Linked DNA regions of Arabidopsis thaliana. The protein of the gene in region 1 interacts with the protein of each later gene in a biochemical or structural test. Each region holds a gene or a part of one and is shown on either strand. Other genes may lie near its edges. The genes, in order: ARAC5 and SCN1.

Region 1 (10,996 bases):
GCATCTCAATACTAAAAATGTTTTTTTCATATACAACAGGTACATTTACTTCTTTGAGAAAGGGAATCCACATATCACTCCATCTGATATACAGAGCCTCATAGAATTGATCAACAATGAGATGCAAAGCGACAACGGTAACACGACAATCCACTCAGATCCCTTCTTTACAAGTACATTGCGTTACATTAAGTTCATAAAACAGAAAGGTGGTTTGATGGGTGAGAAATATGACCCTATCAAGCTGTGACTTAAATCCGAGACACAAGCCTCATCAAATCCCGAGAGGAATTCTCTGTATTTTCCAAAGAAATGTTGGAAACTCTGAAAAGGAAGTGTACACTACACATGTTTGTTTTCTTTTCGGTCTTATTACAAAATGGAGAAAACCTTTGTAATTGTTATTTTCTTTGTTCCTTATACTCACCTCACCTGTGTGTATAGAATCCTCGTTTCTGTAAACCATTCTTTGAAACTATGCCTCAATTCAACGATGTCTCTAATCTTATTGTATATAGAGATCTATCTCAAGATGTTCTTCGTTGTCTGAATCTAATTACATACCAATACAAGACCATAAGATCAACGGAAGCTTAAAAAAAGTCACTAAAAAATTAATTAAGATTTCTGTTAAAGAAAATACAAAATGGACCCCAACAGCAAAAACAAAGACAACATAGTATTAAGAGATTAGTCTACATAGCAAAAGTACAACAACAACAACAACACACCAAGAAAAGAACACATCCCCTTCTCTTACCCAGAATCCTCCTCTTGGCCTCAGTTCACTCATTAGATTCACCAGCAAAAAGAAGAGTAAAGACCGAAACAAGCCGGATTCAACAACTATACAATGTTGCAGGTGTTCGTTTTCCTTCAGCTTCTTTTGTTACCTAAACCTTTTTTCGTTTTAAGAGATGTTCGATCACAAGAACACGCAGCGGTTCTTGTTCTTTTTCTTCTTCTTCTGTTTCGGTGGCTGAAGCACCACTTTTATGGCTGCGTCAAAGACTGCTTTCACATTCTGCAAAACCCAACAATCAACATTTTCACTGTCTTACCAAATACAAAAATCCCAAACAAAAAGACATGTGAGATATTATTTATGTGTGTAGTATACCTGCTGAGTCTTTGAACTACATTCAATGTAGATTGGTGATCCTATCAGTTTCTTTAGTTCCTCTCCCTGCAGACAAACAACTAAAGATCAAGAACTCGCAAAGCAAAAAACACTATTGTTTTAAAGAATTGTGGAGTTATGTACCTGGTTTGTAGTAATAGGCACTGCACCAGGATGGTCTATGAAGAATTGCTTGTCATCTCGAAGATCTGCAAATTCCAAAACTTGAATTATTATTCATCTCTTTCTTATTATAAGGAAAGAGTTTTTAGACAAGAAGAGAGTCAATACCGAGTTTCGTTCCAACGAGGATTATAGGAACACCAGGGGCATAATGCCTAAGCTCAGGAATCCACTGAAATAAAGAAAAAAAAAAAAAAAAAAGCAAATGAAGGAACCAATTCAAAATCAGCTTAACGAAAGTTATTACTATCAAATGAAAGACGTTAGATCAACAAAAAGCTAACCTTCTTGGCTACATTCTCGTAGCTAGCTTTGCTAATAAGCGAGAATGCAAGAATGAAGACATCGGCACCACGGTAACTCAACGGTCTTAACCTGTTATAGTCTTCTTGACCTGCACAAACCCAAGAATTATCAGTCAAAATGAAACCACAAAAAAACAAGAAAACCAGATTTGATGAGTTTCAAAAGGATTATTTACCAGCTGTATCCCACAATCCAAGATTCACCGTGTTCCCATCTACAACCACATTAGCACTGAAGTTGTCGAAAACAGTTGGAACATAGTCCTGATATTCAGTAACCAAGTCATAGAGTTTGTTAAACTAAAACACACACAATAGTGGATCATCATTAACACACACAATAATGGAAAAGATTATAGATCCTCATATCTGCAAATTTGACTAATACATACAAATTGAACATGAAGTCCAAAATGAAAGAAGAACAATGCTCATAGGTAAAGATAAATAACAAAGAAGCTAAATCCATGGAAGCATCAATAAAAGTTCTGAAGAAACATGTCAAGAATTGATTTTTACAATTTTTACCAGCTAATCAATCACATTCAAGAACAAAGATGAATAATCTCCAAAAACCCATTTTCAAAGAATGCTTCAAGATCACTACTGAGAGCAAAAGGAAGAAACTTTACCGTAGGGAAAGTGTTGCTTGTGTAAGAAATCAGCATACAAGTTTTTCCGACGGCACCATCGCCGACGGTGACACACTTTATAAACCTCGAAGCACTCATCTCCGCAGCAAATTCACAAACTCAAAAAAAGAACCCTTTTGCACTTCTTCTTCCTCAAATCCCAGCCATTCCCAAGAATCAAGAAACAATCTTTTCTAACTCAAGAAAAAACCCTAATCCCGAATCGTAGTAGAACACGGGTAAATTCAAAAGTAGCAAGCCAAATCGATGAGAGATAATAATGGCAAAAGAATGAGGAAAATCTTTGCTTTTTCTTTAATTTGCAATGTGTTTTGGGCCGTTGATGATTCTGAGATGAGCTTTTCAATACCAACCTTATGCCAGCTATTTGCTACACCAAACAACACCTTATCATTTACACTCACCCCACTTTAGTATTTCTTTTAAATAATACTAATTTTGAGCACTTTTAATTTTGAATTTGAATACAAATTGAGAAATTATCCGTTGTAATGAGTTTTTTTTTTTCTTTTCCTTTTCTGTATAGTAGAAATATCTTTTTACATTATGAAATTACTATCTGTTTTATGAGATTAGCTAAACTACCACCAAAATAAAAACCTAATTCACTAATAAACATGGATTTTTTTTTTAATTTTCTTTTAACAAAAACTAATGTTTTCTAATTTGACCATAGTTGTTAACCTAATTGACAATTATAAAAAAAAAAGACAGCAAATAAATAAAGATTATAATTTTTAAGAAAAAAAACTAAGAGTAAAGCATAATAAACGACCAAACTATGGGGAGGGAGGGCATGAAATTGCCAAATATTAATCATTGGATTGGGACGACTCTCGTCAAGAACGTGCGACTTAGTGTTACGGCACCATTTCATTCCTTTTTCTCAAATCCCTTATCAAATTAATATGGTTTAATTTTGTCAAGAGTGTCTTTGTCTTTGTTTTTATAGTTGTAATTTTAAAGAGTTTTCTTCATCTTTACGACATAAGAATCGAAAAATCTTACACGAACGTGCTCAACTCTCTTTCAACCTACCAATGAGCATACGACACATCATGAATTGTCCCACATTAGATTTATCCAAATCATACGGTCGCATTATTACAGTTTGCTTCTAAAGGACCAAGGACACATCAAAATTTCACCAATTATATTTATATGAACTAATATTCAATCATACCAAACTAAAGAAGGGGTTAGAGTTAGCTCTACGCTTCTACCTACTCTCAACCAAAAACACCTTTACCCATTCATTCTGATTCTTACATGAAATGAATTTCAGGCTTTATGATTTTTTTTATAAGAAATTTGATAATGATTGATCATGAAATCTAGTGCTTCTATTTAAAGCGACTTATTTGAAAATGAATAAACTTTACATTAGTGATTCAAGTGACAATATGGAGTGCCATAAGGGCCATAACACAAAGGCACAAACACACTAACACAACTGGAAGCTAGAAAAGACAATAACACGAAGGCTCACACTTGAGGCCCAGTAGCGAATTAAGGCCCATTATGACAACTCTTGAAATATCATGATTAGTGACCATTTTTGCCACCAGGGCCCATGGGGTACTTGGTTTGGTGAGACTCCAAATGAATTGACTGCCTAGTGCATGCTTATCCACGAAACAAGAGTTTTTACTTGTTTATTTTGGAATGTAGTAATTCATCTGTCATAGAAGAAGAGTAAAATATGTTATGTTTTAAAACATTATCCAATTTTTTTTTATTTTTTTGTTGCGTAATTAGTATATAGATAAGATGTAGTAGACTAAAGTTTGTCGGTTTCTCAGTCATTCAACATTTGTTAAAGCTTTAAAGGCATAGTGCTAAAGTTTGACAAGTGGAAACAGTCTCCATAATAGATGGCGCACATAGTTAATTGTGTCTAACAATGGCTGCGGTCGACTGATGGCCCATAGTTTGACAAGTACAAACAGTCTCCATAACAGATTTGCCTCTGTCTTTAAGCAAATCGACAGGAGCACATTAATTAGAGACACTCTCCTGGCTCGAAGGTACCGCAAAGGCCGCGGTGACTGCTCTCTCAATGGTTTTCCCATGCCTAGCTCGTAATAGTTCTCTATTTGTAATCTTTGCGTTTATTAGTTTCTGAGGCTTTTTAAAAAACAAATTGTCTTAGAAGCTATTTGTCCCAAAGATTTTTGCAAGTAACAATGTTTCCATTTTGGTAATTAATCACATTTCAAAAAAAAAAAAAAACTCACATTTTATCAAAAAAAGAAGAAAAATTGTGTCTAACAAAAACATATGCATTGCTTAGTACTGAAAATTTAAAACATGGTTGAGACTTGAGACATTGGGCCCATATATGCAATATAGAGCCATACGGTAATACATTTATGAGAGATTTTTACGACTTTTCTGAATCAACCTCGAACTATAAATTATAAAACAGTCACATGTTATTCTAGTTAGACTTCAAGTAGTGAGAAATTCAGTAAAAAGAACAGTCAAACCCACAAATTTCTGTTACATTATTTAACAATGAAAACACACAAATATCTGTTGTAATAGAGTAATAAGTAAGCAAGCATACGTACAGTGTGATACACAGTACAAATCTAACATCAGATACTAGCTTGAGATAATTTAATATTAATATGGGTGCAGGAAATTTTTGCCACGCTGGTTCAAACTCCATAGAAGTAACAGTTTTGTTTATATTAACATAATTTACAAATCTTGGAATTGGGATATCTATAGATATTTTTTGAATAACCACATAACTAGCTGATCAGCATGAACATTCTAGATATCAGTCTTGTAAATTGACATAATTTTGGTGGAAACATACATTTGGTATTCTTCTCCGAAACCGCCTGTTTTTTACATTGTAGCCGAGCCTAAGTACAATAAATAAAAATTCAAAGATGTCAACACAAGACCTCGTTTTTTAAAGTTGAATTAGCTAGGTAAATCTCTTTGGTATATAATTAAGTCGGAGATTGTGTTATGTAGCTAGCTCTCTTTTATGTATAAGCTGAATACTCTTTATTATAAGCAGTTTTTATGAAATACTATAACATATTCCTCCGATTCTCTATTTTCAAATAATCGTTTGTGTTGTGTTGGAGTTTTGCAGACAAATATGGACAAGAAGAAACAGTAGTATACGTCGTACGTAAAAGTTTATCTTATTAAAACAAAGCAACATAACATATCTGGTACATGTCATAAGACCTCTCATAGAGTGACACATACTTATTTAATAGAAATACACACTTTATAATTAAGCATTAAGAGCTCTTGGTAGATTAACATGGGAAGTAGCAGATACATTTGTGAGCTGGGAAGACATAGTTGCAAGATCCATGTCGTGCTTTCTCAAGGTTAATGCACTGATTCTTGCACGCGTTACTGTTTCCGCAAACTCCGGACCATGTCCCACTTGGCCTCTCGCACAACTTCTGTGCTTCCACCACCATCGGTGCTTCTGCATATAGATATATCTCTCACAGTTAATTATCACAATAAAATGAAAGAAAAAAGGTTAAAACTCAATTTTCCATGCATATGGTATACGATAACATCATTACTCACCAAGAGCAGCAAAGAAAACAAGAGCAGCGAAGAAAAGAGTAACGATGGTAGCAGACTTAGCCATGACTATTGTTTATACTTAGTTGTTTTCGATGTATATATGTTTTAGTTTGAAGAAATCTGCTTGAAATCAACCACTATTTATAGTGAAAAAATGATGGGGAGGTCGACTTTTACGTGTGCATGGGACAATAAAGCGTTCAACCCTATAAATAAAAAAATACACACCGTCTGATAGTAGAGAATACTAACATGCAAGTATTCATCTAATGATAGAAGATAATATCTTGACCAATTCATAAAAAGTGTGCTGATCGTGATCGGTGGCGAGTTTTCAGGTGCTACGTTTGTTCATTTGCAATTTCATTGGACCGGTGGCTACTACATTAACTGTTAACATCTCTGGCTGGTTAATTTGACTTGGTCAAAATTTTAAATATGTTGAGCATATCCTAGTACGGTACTCAAGTGGTACTTTGTCTCGACCACATCGCATTTAATAATAAACCATGAAGTTGGGTAGTATTTTTTTATCGACTTTTATTATTTTTTACTGAAACCTCCAAGGAGCTACTTCACTAGCTGGCAAGTTGATAAATTAGGTTATTTCTTCACTTTCTTTGGTATTGATTATATAATCATCAAACTAATTAGGATCTAAACATGTAATTAAATATTAGCAACATAGTGGATTTGGACTAACAAATTTGTAAAATAGCGCATAGATTATATTTAATTTCGTAGTTCCCACCTCAACTCCCACACAAAACTTCTTGGATTCAACTCTGCCATTTTCGGACGACCGAGAAGATAAATCCGATTTAATTTTATTTATTTAACTTATTGTTTTAAGGTAAAAAAAAATTTTTAAGAAAAACTGAAAGAAAATTCGTTTTCGATTTCATAGCCGTCATCCGCAAACTTTGACAAAGACTTGTCTCCTCTTTAAACATTTTCTGTATCAACAGCCACGTACCTTCAAGCCCTTCTAAGACAGCACCAGCACTAGCCGTGCATGGACAAGACAAGTAACAAACTCAGAATAGTACACCACCCAAGTTAATTTGTTAGGTTATTATTAAGAATAGAAAGAGAAGTTAACATTGTTAGATATGAATTATATTTGGTTAGATTAAGAATGCTTAACTTAGGGAAGGCTGCTTCTCTGTTTAATGTAACTTAACTATTTAAGTGGCTGCTTTGGCTTTTGAGTCAAGTGTTACATTGCCTATAAGAAGTGGGCTTATTTTGAATACACACACAATTAAGGGATCAATTATGGGATTAGCATATTAAAGTCTGTGCTTTTGTAGATATAGGAACATCTCATGTTCCTTACAAATTTAGATACTTTTATATTATATGGATGACTGTTTTATCCTTCAATCTAATTGAGTTTCTTCTCCTTGTACCTTCAATCTAATTGAGGAGAATTCATCAATATCAATCGATCTCAGAAATGTGCGATTATTTCTCTCTCTTTCTCTTTCTCTAATGGCATGGAATCTATTGCCTCTAAACTCACCATTGATGTCCATTGCTTCTCCATCACCTTACAAAATTCAGATCTATGCCTGGCCAATCTTCTTCCTCGACGATGCAGGTGGTAATCCTCCATAGCTTTTTTGAATTTGAATTGTTTGATCTGAATTAATTTCATCCTCTCTTTCTTCAATTTCAAAGAGGGATAAGAAATAATTGAAAATTTTAATCGATTCCAATTATTTAAGATTAGTATATTTGGGTTCGTTATATAATATTTTCTTAGGGGTTAGCTTTCTTCCATCAAAAAGCTTTTAACTGATTTTATTGGGGTTTATCTGAATTGGATGGTGATGAAATGTTATTAACAGATTTTCTAATTTTTGTCTCTATCGATTTTGTTTCCGTAAATACATCTTTTGTGTATATATTGTCTTGTAGAAAGAAACATTGATTAAGTAGAGAAATAGGATAATCAATCTCTGTACTTAATACATCATCCATTGAAACAAGTTAGGAATCGATCCAATATGAGGCTCTGCAAAAACAATTCAGGAAAAGATTCTGCAAAAACAATTTAGGAGAATGAGTGAAATCGCAGGGGCAATTTCGTCAATTTATTTCCCAAAAACTGCCTATCTTCATAAACTCAATCATAATGTGCTCTTTCTCTAATTTATGGCCCAAAATGTACCCAATATTATAAAAGCCCCCACAATTAAGCACCAAAGAGTTTTGGTACATTAACTTGGGAGGAAACAGAGACACTTGTTAACTGGTAAGGCAACATTTCAAATTCCATATCTTGTTCTCTCAAGTCCAATGCATTTATCCTTGCACGCTTGATTGTTTAAACCATTTAGATTAATGGGTTGGCATTGGTCACGCTGATCCAATGTTTCAAATGGGTAAGTGAATGTTGATTGCCGACGTGACTGAAGACCCAAGGCCCAACGACCTACTGGTCCAGGTTGACTATGAACAAAAGAACTAGATTTTTTTTTCCCCTACATTTTAAAGAAAATACTTGATGAAGATGTGGTGCCTTTTCATAAGATCTAAAAAGTTTCAAATCTTTACGATGGAACAAAAAGTGAAAGGTGAAGTAAGGGTCATTTGGGATTGAGAAGTTTCTTCGTCCAAAATCATTGCATGAGTTGAATAGATTTGGGATTAAAGCTGCCAATACAAGAGGATTCGGTAATGACTGAAGCAAAAGCCCAGCAGGGCCATTAGGCAAACACCAGTTTCCAAGACGGATTTGTGTAAGACCACTTATGACACAAGTTTGTCTTCACTATCATCATCTTCTTCTTCTACTTCTACTACTACTTTTGTAGCCTTGTCGTTTTTATCATTAACATGATTGACAAGACTATGACCTATATATCTTATTATTATCATTGCTCTCTCTATTTGTTTATATTGATTATTACTTTTTGAGATTTTTCAATGGTTTTATCTCTAACTAAACATTATAATTAGTGAAACAAGCTTAGTAGAAGTAAAAGTATTATTCTATGCTAAAGTACATTGATTAGTAGAGTGTGTAATTGTGTATACAGATAATCTATAAACAATTGGTGCATCTGTATATAAAACTTTATGATTTATTTATTGTATTTAATAAGTATATGAATTGGGTACCTAACTTTCTAAACAGTTCCAAATTTATTCTTAAATCAAATTGCATATGATTTTTAAATATTTTGAGACGATTTTATTATAACGCAAACAACAGAGTAAAAGAAGCATATGTTGCAAATTGTACTATGGCAAGTTCAAATCGAAACATTTTTGTGAAAATCAAACATGTGAACCAAGCTTCTACAGTTTAATTCCCTTTCGTATAATTTAATTTCAACAAATTTATTGATATCCATCTAGAAATTGGTCCAAAGTTCTTTCACCCTTGAGTCATTTAGTGATAAAGATGACATGATTTTTGGTGATAAATTTTCCATCGTTGCTATATGTCGTTATATTATTCTCCTATATGTATATTATACTATTTACATCAGAAAATAATCCAAAGTTTAGAGATTCTTTTTTACAATAATAAAATTTCCCACTTACTAAAAAGAGCTCCTTTTCTGCTGAAGAGAACCTAAACCTTTATTCCCAAAGTTCATTGAGTTAGAGCATTTTCAGCGAATCACATAAGAGATGCTCTCTTCTTCATCACTAATTGACATCTCATTGTTTTAAAGGTTGCACTTGTACCTGTTGATCTGATTCTCAATCCACTTAAGTTAAACCAAATAGACACGAGAAAAAAGCACATTTATTTGTTGCTAAGTATGCATATTTTTCAGCGTTTACTTCTTAATCTAATGTATATCATAAGATAATATCTAAAAGAGAATGCACAAAAGATTATTAATATGAGAAATTCGCTGCCATTTAGGAAGGACCTTTATACCAATATACCGCAATAATAATAGAACATTGGTCCCCAAGTGTATGTCAACCCCAAGTGTATAGATTTCTTTAAAGATTAAAATCCCTTTTTGTTGCTAAAGCACCTGATATATTTTTCTATCAAACTAAAAAAATTGTTAGCGGGATGAAGATATATTCGCCAAGAACCATAGTGCTTGTATAACGGCAGACCATTAATTCACAACTATTATTATTTTATTGTTAGATTGTTGATAGAATCGATTTTGATTGTGGCAGAATCGATCTTGTAAAAACTGCTTTAAGGTGCTTACTTATAATTAAGAAAGATTCACTTATGTAAGTTAAGCATATTAATCATATCATTCGGCCTAATTCATTAGGAATATTTTGCTATTCGTTTTGCCATCATTAACAACAAAATTGACACGTTTTCAGCCAAAAGTATTAACAACTAAACCTAAAACTTCAAACATTAAATAGTTTTTAGTATCTTTAGTTTCAAACTAGTGATTTGTCCTAATATCAACACTACGAACGAATTTATATACATTGAACTTTTTTCTGAATCACCGATTACAAAACGAATATAATTTGGTATCGGCAGTTGCTATTAATTTGATCGGTTTGGACTTTGGACTAATCACGATCAAATCTTAAATGGACCGAAGTGAATAAATCCCTAATGTTTTCAAGAGAGTCACACGAACGAAACAAAGGTAAAATATGAACATAGAGCGTGGGGACCTTGAAGCAGAAGGTCTGTATGGTGACAGACCGGTGAGTGGAGTGTATGAATGAACGAGAAGTGAGAAGACAAAATACAAGAAAGAGCGTTGACTTGGAAGTTAAAGCCAAAAAAACCACAAGGGGCAAATTTGTCTCTTTAGGAAAAGGACACAGACAGACTTTCTATACGGGCCAATTAGAAAAATAGGCCCTACTTCTAATTAAAGCCCATTTACTTCTCTCCTTGTCTTCTTATTCCTCTTTTCTCCCCATCACGTGACGACGATGCTATAAACGCCGTCGGATTATATAACTGGTGCCGTTGACAAGACGGCGACAGAAGAAAGAAAGAAGAAACCACAGGCTCTAGGGAACGTAACGTTATGTCCTGTCTATAGCATTTATAACGGTCAGATCAACGCCGTTTAGATAAAGATCTGTCAATGTTAAAGAAGAGATGCATCTCTACACCGTTAAATTTAAAACGCCGTGAACCTCTTATCTATTGATTTTTGTTTGATGAAGCCAAAACAAATCGTGTCAGAAGACTT
Region 2 (10,757 bases), on another chromosome or scaffold:
TCCCAACTATTCTTGTCCAGAGCGCAATGCCGACGTATGCGTGTTCTCAGCTATTGGTAATACAAAGGTTATTACTTTAACAAGTTTTAAATTTTGCAAGGGGCACGGTAATATCTCAAAGTCAACACATAAACAATAGACATCTCTTCTTAAATTGCTAACATAACATATATGATTTGAACATAGATGGGCCTACGAAAATGTCTTTGCTCCGATGCTAAATCATATAATTTACAGCCTAAAGTATTGGTATCTAGTGTTTGGAAAAACCAAAGTGGTGGGAAACTTGTGCACCTCTTACTAAAATGTTATTACTTTTTAGCTTTTGAAAGAACACACACGGCACAACTGCCCCCACCCACCATTTCTTTTAGTTTTTACATACTTAGATCTATTATCTATTGATTAAAAAGTCACTTGGCATCGATTTGATACATTAAAGTCTTGGAAATTTTCGATTCAAATCTATATGTTTGCGGTGTGCCATCATATCGTTAAAATGTAGACAAATAAATTTACTGTAATAAATGATCAAAGTATTTAGATTTTTTAATGATTGACAAAAAAAAAATTAGAATTTTTACTTATAAATCTCTTGATCCAAACTCTTCATCTAACTGATGTTTACACACTAATTATGACTGAAACCCATCAACACAAATAGAGACATATAGAGAAAAGTCTAATATGATCTACATTACAAACAAACAATGCAACTCTAATTAAGAAAAAGGCCTTTTGTTTTTCGAAAATAAAAAAAAGAACTGAACTAAAAATAAATTTGAAAGTGTACAAATTTATAAAACAGAAGGTAAAGAACTAAATATAGTTGTATACTATTAACGACCAAAAGTAATAATTAGATTTTAAACAACTTAGATTAAAAAAAAAAAAAAAAAAGTAAAAGGAAAGAGAGGACTTTTGCATGAGTTGGCAACTTCTTTTTTTTGTTTTTATTATTAAAGTCTTAAGAAAACTAATTATTTAATTAAATGTTGCTCTGTCATCATCACACTTTTTATTGTTTGGTTTTGTATTCTTCCCCCATTTTCTTTATTCTCTTTTGACAAATATGCAATTTCCAATCTCATCCTACGGTCTAGATCTCTCCAATCATCATCCTTCTTCTTCCAATATTCACTTTAAAATAAAAATAAAATTTAGAGATAATAATTTCCACGAAAGAATTATTATTATTATGTGATGCCTATTCAACGTACCCTCCCTTTTTTCCTCCATCATCTTCTTCTTCTTCTTCTTCTTCTTCTCCTCTCTCTCTCTCCATCTCGATATCAAAAACTCTTGCTTCTGATTCTCTTCATTCATGGCTTCAGAGAAGAGTTTCAAGAAGAGAAAGATCACCGATGATGTAGACGGAGTAGGAGTAGGAGGAGGACTAGAATCCCTTCCCGAAGATATCATCGCCGACATATTCTCTCGCCTACCAATCTCCTCCATAGCTCGGCTTATGTTCGTTTGCAGATCTTGGAGATCTGTTTTGACTCAACACGGTCGTCTCTCTTCTTCTTCTTCTTCCCCGACAAAGCCATGTCTTCTCCTTCACTGCGATTCGCCAATACGCAACGGTCTTCACTTCCTCGACCTATCAGAAGAAGAGAAACGCATCAAGACCAAGAAATTCACATTAAGATTCGCATCTTCCATGCCGGAGTTTGACGTGGTAGGCTCTTGTAACGGTTTGCTCTGTTTGTCTGATTCTCTCTACAACGATTCACTCTACCTTTACAATCCTTTTACTACAAACTCCTTAGAGCTTCCCGAATGTTCCAACAAGTACCACGACCAAGAACTTGTCTTCGGTTTTGGATTCCATGAGATGACAAAGGAATACAAAGTTTTGAAGATAGTTTACTTCAGAGGTAGTAGTAGTAACAATAACGGTATTTACAGAGGTCGTGGTAGAATCCAGTACAAGCAATCAGAGGTTCAGATCTTAACCTTGTCATCAAAAACAACAGATCAATCTTTGTCCTGGAGAAGCTTAGGCAAAGCTCCTTATAAGTTTGTGAAACGTTCATCGGAGGCTTTGGTCAACGGGAGGTTACATTTTGTGACAAGGCCTCGTAGGCACGTGCCGGATCGTAAGTTTGTATCATTTGATCTTGAAGATGAAGAGTTTAAAGAGATTCCTAAACCAGACTGTGGTGGTCTAAACCGGACCAACCATAGACTAGTGAACCTTAAAGGGTGTCTTTGCGCGGTCGTTTATGGTAACTATGGAAAATTAGACATATGGGTTATGAAGACTTATGGAGTCAAAGAATCATGGGGAAAAGAGTATAGCATTGGGACTTACTTGCCAAAGGGGCTAAAGCAAAATCTGGACCGACCAATGTGGATTTGGAAGAACGCTGAGAATGGTAAAGTGGTTCGGGTTTTATGTTTGTTGGAGAATGGAGAGATCTTGTTGGAGTATAAGAGTAGGGTTCTTGTGGCATATGATCCAAAATTGGGTAAATTTAAAGATCTTCTTTTCCATGGGTTGCCTAATTGGTTTCACACTGTTGTTCATGCTGGAACATTGTCTTGGTTTGATACACCCCTTGATTTATGGTAAAATAATTAAAGTTTTGAATTTTTATTACATTTAGAGTTTTGAGATTTGGGTACATCTTCTTGCCCCCTTTACATACCAACTAAGTACATTCTTTTGTACGTAATGGGTAGATTAAGGTGTATTTCTTTTCAAGTTCTTGTTTCGTTTCTGTTGAATTTATAGGTTCCTTTTCATGTCTTCGGTAAATGTAAATATAATTTCTAAGTGTTAGCGGTAAATGTTTCCGGTAATTTGGTTCTACACTATAAACTATTACTTATTGTTTGGGACTAACCCACGATCGTGCCATTTGATTTTATTGCTTTATTATTGTATGTTATTATGTTTTGACATGCTCGATCACCAAGCAATGCAGAAAAAAAAATAAAAAAATCTTGTAGAATATTCTTTAGATCTATAGAATTCATATAACAAGATATTAGATGACGACGATAAAGCAAACTTTAAAGATATATCATAAAAAAAAAAGAGGCTTTCGCAAATCACGCAAATCATATAGTTTTCACTAAAAAGAAAAATTTGTGTATTAATAACTAAACGATCTTCGATCTAAATATTAAACCCATGTGGAAAGATTCCCTATCGCCTGAAAATAAAATGAAAACTCTATTCATCGGAAGATCTAATCATAATAATATCTTACTAAATATATAAACATCTATATAAAACTTGAAGTATATGCATTTTTCGTGGTCTCGGAATTATAACATTTTTGTACATGATCATGATGGCGAACGTAATTGGGTCTATAAAGTTACAATGTGAACGACCAGAAATAATATCGACTGACTCGACAACTGCAAGGCCAAATGGCCGTTTATTCTAGGTTACCGCGATACCTCTGGAGTATACTGTATACGTTCTCTCTAAATTCTGGCTTTTTTTTGGGTGAATTTAAAATGGAATCACTTCACCAATATGTACATGGGTCAACTCCAAAACTGAAGACGACGAAGAGAAGCGGAAGACCGCAAGAATGCCAATCAACATCACAAATTGTTTATCGTCTTCTCTCTTCTCTTCCATTCCACTTATTTTCAGAATTTATCTTCAATATTTTCAAATTACATCAATAGAGTCATGTAGTGAAATAGATATGCCGTCCGGCACTATAATGCTAATTAGCAACAACTGTTTTATTTATTTTTCATGTCATGAGTTTGACTATCTTATTTCATGAATCTATAAAACGAATTAGGTTTTGGTACGGTGTCGTGTGGACAGTAACCTAATGCATGTTGACTAATATGGGATTAATTAATACATGTGTAACGTAGAAAATGCTTTCCCAAAAAAACTAGCATATGACTTTGGAAAGGCATTGTCAATACTTCTATAGCGTACATGACTTCGGAGTTTCGAGTCTATATAGGAAATAACACTAGTGAGAGAATTTGTTATGGAAAAAATCAGTGTGTGATGTTGAGATAGGAGTTAAAACAATCAAAAGTGACATAATCTATATAGACATAATCACGTGATTATAACTTTATAAGCAAAACGGGATAGGTTTTGCATGTCTAGGTAGCACCTATTGTTTGATTGGTGGCAATAAATTCCATATGTTTTAAAATTGAAACACAAAAAAAGGGGCAGAAGCATATGCCCTTGTTTGTCTCATGTTAGGTTGGATCCCAAAATCAGACCGGATAAAACCGGGATATATCATTAATGCAAGTAATAATGATTGAAGACGAGATTAGAGGACTAATTCCGTAATTACAAACAAATGATTTTATTGACAATTCAGTGATTATTAAAAATAAAAAACATAACAACATTAGTGGTCATTGTCGTTGTCGTGGCTCGAGGCTATCGTCTCTCCTATGCGCGTGGAAGAAATAGCAATTATGCTTTCTTTTGTATTTGATTATTATCCGTTAGTGACCCTCACGATCTCTTTCTCTCTCATATAACTCGGATCACCACATGACTTGATCTTCTTGCCGTTACCAAAACCAAAATCCCTAAATTTGCCCTCATTTCCCTCTGATTAGATCCCTTACCCCGACAAAGACACCAAAATTCTTGAGGGCGAGAGAGCTGATTGATGTCTTTGGTATCTGGAGCCAGGGACATGGGGTTCGACGACAACAACAACAACAAGAACAACAAGGATGGAGATGATGAGAACTCCTCCTCCAGAACAAGAGCCGACGACGATGCTCTTAGTCGACAGATGAGCGAATCTTCTCTTTGTGCTACCGAGGAGGAAGAAGACGACGATTCCAAATTGCAATTGGGTCCTCAGTACACTATCAAAGAACATCTCGAGAAGGACAAGGTTTCTCCTTTTTGCTTCTTCTTCTTCTTCCTTCCACCCTATTTATTTGAATTACATTGTCAGATATTTGAAGAATTTGTTGTCGTTGAATCTGGGTCATGTAGGATGATGAGAGTCTGAGGAAATGGAAGGAACAGCTTCTCGGAAGTGTTGATGTCACCAACATTGGAGGTGTGTTTGTGTGTACCTCTTTGTTTCAATGATTATTTATGTTTTGATAATAAATGAGAAATTTTTAATCTTGGGAAATGATTTTGGCCATATTTGAGACCCTTGTTAGATCATACTAGTTGTTTCGTTTGATATATGATTCATGTGAGAGTATTTTTGATCTCTGGTTGGGCTTTGTTTACCTTCGAATGTATACAATTTTCTTTCCCATGATTCCGGAATTTGGTGTCTATGTTTATTTCTTTGCTTGATTTTCCATTTTTCTGAGTGCTACTGTAGAGATATCAACTTAAGATTGGAACATGTGTTTTTTGCATTTATGCATTTGTCACCTTATATCTCTTTTGATACGCAGAGACTCTTGATCCGGAAGTGAGGATTGATAGCCTCGCCATCATATCTCCTGGAAGACCCGACATTGTTCTCTTGGTTCCTGAGAATGGAAATCCAAAGGGCATGTGGTTTACTTTGAAAGAAGGGAGCAAGTACAACTTGAAATTCACTTTTCATGTTAACAACAACATTGTCTCTGGTCTTAGGTACACCAATACAGTTTGGAAGACCGGTGTCAAAGGTAAAACAATAGACCACAAGTTTGTTTTTAATTAATTGGTCCTCTCGATGGTTGAGAGACAATGTGATCCAATTCCTTTCTTTAATGGCTACAGTGGACAGAGCTAAGGAAATGCTTGGAACCTTTAGTCCTCAGTTGGAGCCATACAACCACGTGATGCCAGAAGAGACCACTCCTTCTGGCATGTTTGCTCGAGGATCATATTCTGCAAGAACTAAGGTTGGTTGTTGGTTTATGAACTTCATAATCTAGTTCTGTAATATTCAGTTCTTTGGTGTTGGTTTTAAAAAGTTACTCGACAATCTTGTTTCAGTTTCTTGATGATGATAATAAGTGCTACTTGGAGATCAACTACAGCTTTGACATCCGTAAAGAATGGCCTGCGCTTTGAAACTCGGAGAATGCGAGAGTTGTCTCCTGAGAGAGGATGTTGTCGGTAGAAGAAAGTTGTGTTTGTTTCACTCCATATCTCCGTTTATTTCGTTGAACATATAATTGTGAATCGTTTTCTGATCATCTTAGAACAAGAACGACATTTACTTCCTACATCCTTGATCTTGATTTTTCCAGTAATGTCGTTGGAAATCAGTATGTCTGTGTTTGTTCTCAACTCTGTTTCTCCTTCCACGTTAACATGTGTTTGATGATATGATTGTGTCAGATTCTGACATGTATAATGATTCTCAGTCCAGCTGAAAGTTAAAAAAAGAAGAAGGTTTTGCTTCACAGAAAATGCAGAGCCTTTCTTTATTCATAGATTTTATATGCCTTTAAAGAGAAGCCAACTATTTTTGAACGCATCTTACGACACCACCAAGTCTTTTTTGCTAATTCTAACCACTTTTAACAATTTTGATAAACCGTTAGTTATTTTTCTTTAACCGCCTCGTGTAAACATGATCACCATTCACCAATGGGGTTTGAATAAAGTGAAACGCGATCCTTGATACAACGTCGCTCTCATATGGTTGTGTGCATTTGTATGATTTTTATTGTGTTTTGGTTATTTAAATTTAGATTATGGAATTCATGGAGACTTCAAATTTGAACTTCCAATAGATTCCAAGTTTTTGTTTTTCTATGTTTATATAATGCCAAGTTCTTATCATCTTATCAACTTCTTTTAAGAATTCTATAAACTTTTTGTTTTGGAAAAATAGTATTGAGAAGAACAGTTGACAATTCATACTACAAACCAAACATTGATCTATAAAAACATGAAGATCACAATTGATATATGAAGAGGGGTAAAAAATGCAAAAGGCAAGTGACACCTCTTGGAATGTGAAGAAACTTGACATTTCCCATCTCAGAAATGGATCTTGGTTAATGTTTTGCTCTCAAAATAAACTTAAAAAATCCTATTTATATATACTTAGAAAAAAAGGAAAAAAAAAAAAAAACATCAAGAGGGATAAATAAACCATTGTTGGACTCCCTCGTTTGCACTTTTTGGCTCATCTTCTCCCAACAGTTCTTTTTTATTTATGTGCTCTTCCCACTTTCTTTAAGAGAGTTAAGTCTCCGAAGTCTCTGGTCAAGTTCTGCCATCACTGCTGGTTCCTGCTTCTTCCTCTGCTTTGATATCGTGTTGGTAGTCATTGATCCGATTTTCTCAAATGCCACCTGAAAACATTTGTTGATCGATAGTCAAGATTACGAAACTCGAATATATAAACTCGGTTTTCAGACTAGGGCAGGCATGGCTTACCGTTAATAATTCATCCGGGTCAAAAAGCTGGTGTGAAGTTTTCTGTAATATGTTGATAACATCGCCGACCTGGTGGGTCATAAGCAGCTCGTTCTCTTTCATCTGCAAATGACGAGAGATCCTTGAGATGAGATTCATCCAAGAAGAACAATTATGGAAAAGGCTGATCAGAGGAAGAGAAGTAAGAACCTTGAATATTGCTAAAGCTGCATGGAATAGAACCTTCGCTCCTTCATAGAAAAGTACATCCCACACCCTTAGAGTTGTCTGCAAACAAAACCAAAGTTCTCAGTATACATAAGAAAAGTAATCTTAAAAGACATATAATTGGACAAAAGGGTTTGTTTTTCTAAACACCTCTGAAGGAAGGCTTTTAGAGAAGAGGCATAGAAACCATTCAGTGGCTACAAGGGAAACATCAAAGCCCATATCTTCAAGATGAGTAGCTATTCTGCAAAAACAACAAAACATAACAAGAAATTGATAAGCTGGTGAAGCTCAGCGACAAGAACCAACGAAGAAAGAGAGACTTACCGAGAACATTTTTGGGCAAGCAAATCTTTGAAAACCCGCTGCTCAACATGACATCCAGATAAGTTGGTTGTGTAACAATCACGGACTAATACGTTTTCCAAAAGGACCGCTAGCATCCAGAATGCGTCTTCTTCTGTCTTCATGACAAGTAATAGTAACGCTGCAACGTAGTTTAGACCCTGTAACAAAAAACGACATTGATTAAGATACAAACTAATTTGAAATTGAGAAAATGGAGATGGGAAAAAAGGACAGGCATGTACCTGACAATAGCCAACATCTGAATCACGAAAGGAATACCCAACAAGCACACGTCGTAGAGCAGCATGACCTTCTGGAGTGTCCAACCATGGATGGCCTGGGAAAGTACGTGGCAGATCCTGCAAGAATAGACACACAATGTCAAGGGCAAATGATGAGAAGATCCGAGGAAGTTGCAGTATAAGATAATGGAATCAACAAATCTTGAATGACCATCAATCAAAGCAGACGAAAGGCTCTGCTATAAGTTGCCTCAACACAAGACTCAAGAACGGATCTAGAACAATCCTAAAACAAAGAATCAATGAAAAGCTAAAATTGCTCCTTAAATCACACAAATTACTTGCTCAGAGACACAATTTCAAGATCCAGGGGATGAAATCAAGTATTCATAGCACATAACATTATGAAGTAGCCTCCTATGACCATCATACAACACAGTAGAATAAGAGAAAGGGTTTTCAAAAGTAGGCTCTTAGTTGCAAACAGAGCACAAGGATCAACAACAGATCTACACCAACCCTTACACAAAGGATCAACGAAATTCAACCCTGAAAATACTAAGATTTGTGAAGAACATCAAACCCAATCAAAAAGGAAAAATTGAGCCTTTGGATTATAAATCAAACTCACATGATCAATCTGCCTCGTAGCCGGCGTGACCATCCCTTCGACGGCTTTGGTCAAATCACTATAATAACTCTCTGGGACGGTGGATTTCTTCTTAGCAGCACCAGAAAGAGAAAACCAAACCTTAGGTCTAAGCACAGGAGGGATCCCTTTCCGAATCAATCTCTTCAACGTAATCGCATTAGTCAAAGTGGAGAGCTTGAGAGAAGTTTTCAAAGCGATACCGTCACCGATCAAGAGAATCTCCGGCTGAAGATACCAATTAGCTCCTTTGCTAGCTTCAAGAGCCCACCAAACTCGTCCTTGATTCCTGACTTTCTCTCTAACCTCGTTCAACACATTAACGTCGTCGACATTTCCTTCCACCGTGAACCCGTACAAGTCCTGGAATTTAACGACGATGTTGGCTCGTCTTGCGTGGATGCTTGGACGGAGAATCGGAATCTGAGATTGTAGCTCCATCGTTAAATCACGTCTGCTTTGGATCCCAAACATCCTCCGAATTTCAAATCCCTTGTCTGAATCTCTCTAATTGTTGTTGTTGTCTTGTCGGAATATTTTTCGTCAATTTCAGACCAAGCACGAACACGGACACCGTCAAAAAAGAGTACTCGGCTGCTACAAAAAAAAAAATGAAGTAGTTGTTTGATATCTCTTGAATTTAAATAAAAAAGGAGTTTATAATAAATCTTAGCAAAGTTTTCTGATACCTTTCAATATTATAATTGTGGTCACGTTCTGCAAACGTTATCACCTTTGAACACCTCTAATCTTCTTCTCCTCTACGCAGTCAAAAAAAAAATTACAGCTTCTGTTAAAAAAAGAGATATTTCCAGAAACTAAAAGAAGCTAAGAACAGATGATTTCTTTTTTATGATTTCTCTATCTCGTGAACAAATGGCACTAAAGTTGGAAAAGGAGAATTAAAACAACTTTAAATAAATAGAAATAAGGAAAGAAAAGAAAAAGGAAAATAATTATAACTGAAAGAAATGCAAAAAATTCCAGAGGAGCGTTGAATTGAATCTCCGCGTCTCTCGGTTGTCGAAGAAGAGAAATTATGAGAGTTGGAATTTGGAGGAGATAGAGATTTTGATTGTTGAGGAAATGGGAGAGTTTATCCCTAACTTTAGATAGAGCTGGGGTTGGATTGAGAGCTTTTAATTTTTATGGGGTTATTTTATAATATTAATGAAAGATTGTGATTTTGAAACGTTACTATTTACAACTACGTAGAGATTGGATAAGTAAGAGAGTCATTAGTGACGCAGGTTTAACTTTGAATCATTGTTATGGCAGCAAGATTATGAATTTCTCCTTACTTTTCGTTAAATGACTATTATAGCCCTGAACTTTGTTTGTATTGATTGGCTCTGTCATTTCTAAGGACAAATGTGTAATTTCATAAACGATGTGTTAAATAAAGCAATTTCTTGATGTTCATATCAGATTTAAATTGCAAGATAGAGAGAGAAAGAGACGATGTAAAATAATTATTAACACTGGATTTATTAAATTTTAAATTTCAAATTCCACAATTCGTCGGTAATAAAACGTGCTGAAGTGACATATAGCATATGTATCTAATGTGATGTTCATATGATAAAGACAGGTACATTTTTCTACGATTAATTGTAATATACATATTATTCTATGGTTTGAGAACAATGTATATGGTATCCCATAATTGATTTTATTATCAGTTTTGCTTCAAAGATACGTGAGTCCACGACTCCACTAACCTTGATAAACTTTGAGTCTCTAACTCTAACCTTTGTTTATCCCTCCCAAATCGTTCAAACTATACAATATGCATATATGTTTTTGTTACTCGAACCATATGCAAAGTTTAATTACGTACCAAACACTATTGGATTCATCTACGTCTAGATATATGATCTTGTTCGTTTTACTTATGAGAAATTAAAAAAACAAAATATGCATTCCCACCAAGGGGACGAAACCAGCTCTCTAAGGTGGGATTAAGTAGTGTCGCCGGTAAGATACAAGATGA

What was found.
Region 2: the proteins of ARAC5 (region 1) and SCN1 form a complex in vitro, tested with the Arabidopsis thaliana proteins (one study listed by BioGRID).

Annotation. Positions count from the first base shown.
Region 1 is NC_003070.9:28,467,307-28,478,302, reverse strand, and holds ARAC5 (RAC-like GTP binding protein 5), read right to left. Parts: upstream 2,655-10,996; 5' UTR 2,340-2,654; coding exon 2,241-2,339; intron 1,873-2,240; coding exon 1,785-1,872; intron 1,698-1,784; coding exon 1,588-1,697; intron 1,476-1,587; coding exon 1,412-1,475; intron 1,330-1,411; coding exon 1,265-1,329; intron 1,187-1,264; coding exon 1,121-1,186; intron 1,025-1,120; coding exon 926-1,024; 3' UTR 501-925; downstream 1-500. Other genes in the region: VPS35B (VPS35 homolog B), read left to right, coding at 40-250; LCR67 (low-molecular-weight cysteine-rich 67), read right to left, coding at 5,549-5,727, 5,835-5,898. UniProt on the Arabidopsis thaliana protein: Involved in cell polarity control during the actin-dependent tip growth of root hairs, thus regulating root hair length and root hair initiation.
Region 2 is NC_003074.8:2,509,547-2,520,303, forward strand, and holds SCN1 (Immunoglobulin E-set superfamily protein), read left to right. Parts: upstream 1-4,378; 5' UTR 4,379-4,628; coding exon 4,629-4,862; intron 4,863-4,966; coding exon 4,967-5,033; intron 5,034-5,388; coding exon 5,389-5,607; intron 5,608-5,701; coding exon 5,702-5,826; intron 5,827-5,920; coding exon 5,921-5,998; 3' UTR 5,999-6,437; downstream 6,438-10,757. Other genes in the region: AT3G07870 (F-box and associated interaction domains-containing protein), read left to right, coding at 1,325-2,578; AT3G07890 (Ypt/Rab-GAP domain of gyp1p superfamily protein), read right to left, coding at 7,093-7,233, 7,319-7,420, 7,508-7,585, 7,676-7,769, 7,853-8,031, 8,116-8,232, 8,747-9,238.